2 linked regions of the Daphnia pulex genome follow. The protein of the gene in region 1 binds, or shares a complex with, the protein of each later gene. Links are inferred from orthologs where the notes say so. Each region holds a gene or a part of one and is shown on either strand. Other genes may lie near its edges. The genes, in order: transcription termination factor 2-like and telomere length and silencing protein 1 homolog.

The links.
Region 2: transcription termination factor 2-like (region 1) and telomere length and silencing protein 1 homolog share a complex: the UniProt entries of both Homo sapiens proteins name them as parts of the spliceosome. The link is inferred for Daphnia pulex from reciprocal best matches to the Homo sapiens genes TTF2 and C9orf78.

The regions. Positions count from the first base shown.
Region 1 is NC_060026.1:13,496,137-13,500,410, reverse strand, and holds the start of transcription termination factor 2-like, read left to right. Parts: upstream 1-1,239; 5' UTR 1,240-1,423; intron 1,424-1,487; 5' UTR 1,488-1,522; coding exon 1,523-1,577; intron 1,578-1,639; coding exon 1,640-2,709; intron 2,710-2,774; coding exon 2,775-3,239; intron 3,240-3,298; coding exon 3,299-3,584; intron 3,585-3,646; coding exon 3,647-3,844; intron 3,845-3,912; coding exon 3,913-4,089; intron 4,090-4,099; exon of another isoform or gene 4,100-4,256; intron 4,257-4,274. Other genes in the region: beta-1,3-glucan-binding protein-like, read left to right, coding at 52-244, 321-519, 588-797. UniProt on the Homo sapiens protein: DsDNA-dependent ATPase which acts as a transcription termination factor by coupling ATP hydrolysis with removal of RNA polymerase II from the DNA template. May contribute to mitotic transcription repression. May also be involved in pre-mRNA splicing.
Region 2 is NC_060023.1:10,024,353-10,028,016, forward strand, and holds telomere length and silencing protein 1 homolog, read right to left. Parts: upstream 1,911-3,664; 5' UTR 1,815-1,910; coding exon 1,678-1,814; intron 1,611-1,677; coding exon 1,496-1,610; intron 1,430-1,495; coding exon 1,275-1,429; intron 1,212-1,274; coding exon 1,008-1,211; intron 940-1,007; coding exon 806-939; intron 741-805; coding exon 568-740; 3' UTR 527-567; downstream 1-526. Other genes in the region: zinc finger CCHC domain-containing protein 8 homolog, read left to right, coding at 1-504. UniProt on the Homo sapiens protein: Plays a role in pre-mRNA splicing by promoting usage of the upstream 3'-splice site at alternative NAGNAG splice sites; these are sites featuring alternative acceptor motifs separated by only a few nucleotides. May also modulate exon inclusion events.

The sequences.
Region 1 (4,274 bases):
TTAAATATAAAAACAATTGGGAAATTAATAGTATTGAAATATCCTATAAAGCAATTTGGATGTTGCCTACTGACGAAATTTATGGTGGTTGGCCACGATCGGGTGAGATTGACATCGTAGAGTCCCGAGGAAACGCCGATTTTTCGTGCAACGGCTATCCGATAGGGCGACAGTTGGCAGGAAGCACTTTGCATTGGGGTCCTGATCCCAACCAGAACCGTTTTGACCTTACCCACTGGGAAAAGTAAATTTACATATGTGCATGAATTAATTATAGTTACTACTTAGAATAATGTTAAACGTTTTTATTTTTCACAAAGGATCACTCAGAATCCAGATTTTGCCAGCGATTTCCACCTTTACCGTGTCGAATGGCTTCCAACTGGTTTCCAATTCTTCATTGATGATCAAATGATTGGTGAAATGTATCCCCCTGCAGGTGGATTCTGGGAATTGGGAGGATTTCAAGGACAGAACCTCTGGAGCGGTGGAACTGTAATGGCTCCCTTCGATCAAAAAGTATATATTTTTTTTTTATTATTTATTTTAAATATTTCATTTACATCATTGTCGTCGTGTTTGTGCAGTTCCATTTTCTTCTTAATGTCGCTGTCGGAGGTAACTACTTCCCTGACGGCTGTCAAAATGCCGTTTATGACAAGCCGTGGACCGCATCTGATCCTACTCAAATGAAAACTTTCTGGGAAAGCCGCGACAAATGGCTACCCACATGGAATGCTGCCACTGAAGACAACACAATGCAGGTTGATTATATTCGCGTGTATCAGCTTGGTTAAATTGCCACAAACTGATTTTAAAAAAAATTGATTTTATGGAAAGTTTAACTTGACTCTTAAAAGAATAGAATAAAAGAATGCAACATTTTCTTTATCCTTTATTTACTTCACCTCATAATTTGATGTAAAGAGATAGTATTACCACGGTTAGACCGTGGTATTGCAGTGTCAATGCTCAATGGTGCAAGGTTTTCAAATTTCCCACTACGCGTACTAGACTCCTCCCCAACTACTGCGGTTGCACGTACACGATCGAAATAAGAAATTAATATTAAAACAACAATATAAATATGAATGGGAAAACCTATTCGAATTAAAAATTGCTCATAAAGTTCAAAATAGGAATTTGCCTAATCAATGTTTTTCTAACTAAAAAAATAATTCATAAAATTTCGTTGGCTCCTCTTTTTTTTATATTTGGCAACGACGCCTCAGTATTTCTATTCGAAAATTTTAGAAAGAAATCGTGAACAAGTGTGACAAGGAGTTGGTGATGTACTCATGTCCGTTGTTTCTTCTTTCTTTTATCGAACGAAATATTTAATAAAGCACGAGAATAGTCCAGGTCAGACAGAGAGGAAGCTAGGTAATTTGTCATCTTTCTACTGCTGCCTTCGTATTTTATGGTAAACCTTTTGTACATTATGCTAATGCTCTACTGGTTCATGATCACCTAAATTTCAAATCCAGAATCTAGAGGAATTTAAGCTGAATTGACATACAAAATGTCCAAGTTCCCATTGAATGATGAAAGTGACCTGGTTCCATCTACACCAGAAGGTAAAACATTTAGAATTTGAAAAGTAAGGCTTTCTAACATCATTCTGTTTCCTTATTTGAAGATGTGTCTGATAACGAGGCGTATGAAACTCCAGCTGCCCATTCTTTTAATAAATACTCAAAGTCTAATGTGAAAGCATCTGCTGTTTCACGTACAGAGAAGATAGAAGAGTCAGTACAGGGAGAAGATTCAGACTCTTACAGCGTTGAGGGAGAAGAAGAGGAGGAGTCCCAGCATTCATCTAGGCCTGGATCTTCAGATGATGAGGAACCTGAAGATGAGGTAGATAAAAGTCGATCCTCTAACCTGGTTGTCAGTCCTTTTGAAACTAAAAAAGGATCGAAGCAAAAGGCTCATAGATTTATTGAGAGTTCAGAAGACGAGTCTGATGATGAGTCTGATGAAGAAGATGTGTCATATCGTGTGAGAGGAAAACGTCTTGGATCTAGTGAAAAATATTCAACTAGTCAAATTGGAGACCTGGATGAATCTTACCAAGTAATTCAAGCTGGAAGGCGTCAAGCAAAATTGGTGATTCAAAGTTCTGGAGAAAATTCTGCTGAAACTTCTGACATTGAAGGCTTGGCAATTCAGAAGGCCAATGCTTCTGATAGCTCTGACGAATCCGCAGAAGATTCTTTTGGTTCCTCCGTTAAGAAGAAGCCAACCCGAAATCCAATTGATAGTGATTCCGATTCTAGTGGACCACCGGTTAGAGGAAAAGCAATTGACACTGACACTAGTGAAGAGTCCGATTCTAGTGTTGAAGCAACACCGCGAGTCTATCGTGAACAAACTGGAAGGAAAGCTGCATTATCATCCACTGAAGATGAGTCTGAGGATAATATTAGGAAAGAGATGACTCCTCGTATCCGAAAGCAATTCATCGACAGTGACGTATCTACTGAAGAAGAAGTAAGGGTTCCTCGTATAAAAACTCCTCATGTCCGAGATCAAATCATCGACAGTGACGTATCTACCGAAGATGAGGTTGAAGCCATTGCCCCACGGCTCCCTTCGTCCTCTCGTATCCCTACACCACAAGCGATTCAGCGTGCTCTTCGCAATACCAGTCTTGATAGACACGTTTCGGGGAATGATTCAAACATGGATCCCATTAACGCTAATCATGTAAGTTGGCCGTGATTAAAGCTGCCTATGATTAGACCTTTAATATATTTTTTATTTTATTTCAGGAAATGTCGAGGAAATCGGCCGATAAAAGATTTTCGCCTCCTGAGCCTCTTGTAGAGGAAGAAGAAGTACCGATCCAAGATCTATCCAATAGTATTCTTGAGGTATCAAGTACTGTTGTATCTTTTTCGAGCCCTGAAGTTGAAGGAAAAGAACAAGATCAGAGCATAACTGAGTTATCATCACCGGAAATTGCACGAACTCTTCCTGTTCGACTCTCGGCAGCAGAAATAACGCGGATGCGTGAAGATCTTGAGCGCCAAAAACTTCTTTTGGTATCGTCAAATTTAAAATCATTGCCCGATGGAGGAGAAAGGCTCCGAGACAAAATTCGTAAGCTGACTGAACAGCTAGAAACAGCCAACAAACTCGGTGTAAATCCCCCAATGCGCCCCGTTCCAGTTTCATCAGTAGCGTCAAGTGAAGTCCAAGAAGATGAACTTCGAAAACAAATACAAATGAAAAAGGTTATTTTCCAACAATTATTTTCTGAAGATAAGATAAATTTTATTATTGTTTTTTCTAGTGGGCCATGGGTAACGCAAATAGCGACGACAAGGAGCGCCTGCGAACTGAAATCGGTGCCATGGAGGGTCGTCTTATTAAGTTGTCAATTGCCAATGCAACCAACGCCGGCAGCAGCAGTTACGGCTCAAAACATTTGGATTTCCAAAATGACACGCAGAATCGCCAATTAGCTGTAAAACCGAAAAAAACCCAACTTCTTCCTGAAGCTCCCAGACTAACCGAAATGCAGAAGAAGATGTTTGCCGATAATGCGGGAAAGGAACTCTACCAGAAAACGGAAACCGGTTAGTAATAATAGTCATGTTTTTTTTTTTACAGCAACTCAAATTCTCCTCCTTTTAAATAGGTTACATCTCTGCTGCTGCCCGTCGTGAGGCTGTTTCCATCACTATGGATTCGCTTGAAAACCTTCATCGTTCTCTCGCCAGTTGCCCAAAAGAAACCGATGTGGAGAGTACGCCCGCCTGCCTCACAGTTCCTCTCTTGGCGCACCAGGAGCGCGCACTCAAATGGCTTTTATGGCGCGAGACTCAAATTCCTGCTGGTAAGCGACGTGATTACTTGTTCATTCAGTTATTCCCTAAACTTAATTTATTCTTATTTTTCTTTTAGGTGGAATATTGGCGGACGACATGGGTTTAGGCAAGACACTGACCATGATTGCATTGATCGTGAAACAAAAGGAACTAGATCCTCCACCACCTGCGTCCTCCAACATTTGGCTCTCCAAGACCGTCAAGATCAAAAGGTCATCTGGTACTCTCGTTGTTTGCCCCGCCAGTGTAGTGGGTAAGTGTTATCCAATTAACTTAGTTTATTAAACGTAGCTTCACAACAATCAAGTGGCAAGAAACATGGAAAGAGTTAATGAACCAAACGGGGAATGGGAATTTCTTTGTAACATCAGGACAGTGAGTGAAATAAGTAACAAGTTCCTCGTAGAGAATTTTTCTCGCCTGCAATGAAAGAAAAGC
Region 2 (3,664 bases), on another chromosome or scaffold:
GATACATCCATAGAAGACCTTGAAGAAAAGCGCCAGGCATTGCTTGCTGAGTTGGGAGATGAAGACGATGACTGTGTTATTGAAGAAAATTTTGAAGGGAGTGAAACCACTAACCCAACCAACACAACAACTGGCATCGTTACTGGGGACACATTGAAAGAGAGTGGATCTCCCAACCTAACCAACGAGGTTCAGGAAATGGATATTGCTGCAGTGACGATTCCTACCTCGTCAATATCAGATCTACCTCTAAATATTGAGTCACCAATCAACAATCAAGACTTGTCACCGAAAAAGAGCAAGCTCTTGGCAATGGGAACTCCTGTCTCTATACGATATTCACCTTATAATATCCTACCTTCACGAGACAAGTTTGCGCAAAATGGGAAACTTGGGACCATGGGTGAACTTGAACTATACGAAAATCTTCCAAATAGTACGGGCGCTTTTCAAAAGATGCGATCTTTACTTCAAAAGGCGAAGCAAATGTTTAATAGGAAATAAATGGCACTGAAAAATCGTTTATTTGAAAAATGTATGTATTTTTTTGAAAAATTAAGACTTTCATCATCTTCGGAACTGTCGCCGGAACTTTTCGAAATAAAAGTCGTCGCTTGCCTTATCATGCTCTTTTTTCCCACCGACATTGTCTAACCTTTTAGGTAACTCTACAGGGACGGCTGGTTTGACAGAAGCTTCAGCACGTTTCTTACGTGGGGGGCCAGATTCTTCAATATTAACTAAAAATATGTAAAAATATGATTAGAAATTTTTAATTAAGTATAGATCAATAATAGAAAGGTACATCTGTTATGCTGGACAAAATTAACGGCCATGTTAGTCGGAACAAACATTGAAGGACCATCTTTTTTACGAAGTCTTTCTTGAAGCAGCTTCTGTTTTGCTTCTTCAGTTGCTTCAATATTCTTAATTTTGGCCCTTTAATAAAATAATTATGAAAGTCATTGTAAAAATTTTTAATATAAAAATGTTTTAGACTGGCATACTCTATTCCTAGATCTACTTCCGGAATTCCGCTAAGCATCTGGTTGGATAACATTTCTTCAGATTGGACACTAGATTTCACTCTCAGATATTCAGGTACTGACGAAAAAGCAATTTCTTCAGGAGTCAGGTATTTATTACTTTTATCTTCATCCTCTTGCATTAGACCTTTCCTTTTTGCAAGTTGCTCCTCAATATACTTCATCCTAAAAAGAATAAACATTTTATAACTGAATTGCAAGAGTTGTAAATGAATAATATTTACACACATTTCTGCATCTTCATCTCGAGTGTTGGTTTCCACGGAAAACTGTGTACCAATTCCAGTTTCATATGCATCATCAGCAGATGAACTATTTTGCTTTCCAGCTTTAACTGCCTTCATATCAGCCATTCCACCAGTTGTAACTTTGAAGGGATCATTCTTTACTTAAACAAGTAAACTAGTTAATGCATGATCTTGTATAAATTTCTATATACACTGCCTTACCACTGTAACTTCCTCTTCAACAGTTATTCGCTTGCCAATTGCCAATGCCACAGCACTAATACCGTGGGGTCTCTCTCTTAACTTTTGTAACTCTTTTGTCTCTTCCAGCTTTAACCTAGAAAATTAGGAAATTAAATATGACAATACATTTTAAATTATATTATTTATAAGAATGTGCATACAACACGTCGAGCTCATCACTGCCACCAGCATCATCGTCCTCTTCAATTTCGAGACGTTTTCTCATAGGTTTTCTACTTGGTTTCTTGAATTTAAATGTTAGAGAAGCTTCTCCCGAATTATCACCAATTTCTTCCATATTTTTTTACGATTTGTTTAATTGTTCTGTAACTTAAAAAGGCGTCCCGTTCTTTTAGACAAAAACAAAACAGAAGCAGTACAGTGACATACAACCTTGACAGATTGCCGATATATGGGAAATTCGGAATCGTATTTGAGTAATTCTTCAACTTGACCAGAGTGATAGGTATAAAAATATTTTTATTCTTAAATATTTAAATAGAATTATTCTCAAATTAATGAGTCATTAAATGAAGGAATAAACTGACAAAAACTGGCAACAGTTAGAGCTTACTCCATCTCACGGTGTCATGCAAATGGCGACCATTGTTGTGCATTTCAATTTAGAATATTTACCTAAACATGCTGAGTTTGTTGGAGTGGGATTGGAATAAGAGTCTTCATTAAACTTACTGTCTTTTCGTTTTATTTATTAGAAAATAGCATTATAGAGTTTCCTCAATGTTTTTGTTAGTCAAGCACAGATTTCAGCTTTTGCTTCTTTCTAAGTGTTAAAAAATCATTCCTTCCTGAAGCCTGAAATGAATCTTTTGATAGCACAAATTGAGTAACCAATATAAGTATAATATTATATTATCACCTTATTTATACATTTTTCGACAGAATTTTGCGGAATTTTTCGTAATATTTGTTCTTTTCATTTTGCTTTTTTCCTATTGCTATGTTTAAGGGGGCACTGGAAGGATAACGTTGCTTGAACCTAATCACCTCCTACTCTTTTTGAATTTCTAGAAGAACTCTTCCGCTTGATCCTAAACCAAAGACGTGTACTTCACTGTGATCAGACTCTCTTGCCTTGACTGCAAGATACTCGGTGAATCTCCGCCTGCCGTAAGCATCCTGGCTTCCTGGAAACCTTTTCATCTTCTAAGATGAAGAATTTTCACGATTGCACTATTGTGGAATCCTCGAGTCGTCAAACATTGCATGAAGCTCAGAGTTGTGTATGTCTCTCTTGCTGCAATGTTTCTTGCATATGGATTGGAATACCACTCCTGTAGATGGGATGTCTATAGTTTCATGAGCAGGAGGTGTTGGTGTGCCAACCCATCAGGAAGATCAGAATTATCTTCTTCTCCCTTAAGGAAATGTAAGTTTTTTCGGTTTTGTAATTTGTGCGTTTTGTTGATGTAATTAATTATATAAGAACGTAAATGCGTGGTTATTTAAAGTTTTAGTTGGGATTTAGAGTTATTTTCCGCTGTCTAACTATCCATAAAAAGGTCTATAAGAGCCTGAAAATGAAGACAACGTTAAGGACATTGTAAAATTAAGGTCCTCTTTACATCAGGCGGCTGACCCAGCTGAAAATCGTTTCCGAGACGTTAAACAACTTCAATGAACGCAGTAGATTACGACAAATTATAGACAAATGATTTAAATGTCCTGTAAATAATAATTGTGCCTTGTGTAAAGGTACACAAATTTCTGTCTGCTAATATTAATTATTTGATAGATATTAATTTTAATATACCTCCATGTTACTAATAGCTGGAAGTTTGTCTTTTTTCGAGAACATCGATTTGATCCATTATTGCGTGGTGAGATACTTTCTTTTATGTCACTTAAGTGAGCTCTACAGTTTGGATTATTAGATTTCCTCAGATAATGCTAAGCTTTTTATAATGAAATCAAAGAAATTTACAGAAGTTGTTAAACCGTTTTTCCAACTGAATCTTAATTTTCCCTGTTGGTTTCTCTGACAATGATTTATGCATAACAATGCATTACATTTCCTTTCGTTCACAGGATATGTCAGCCAGGTCAAATTGAAGCTTTTTTTCTAATGCAGAACATTTTGACTTCGTCACCTTGCTGCTTGTTAATTGGGAATGTTGTTAAATTAGG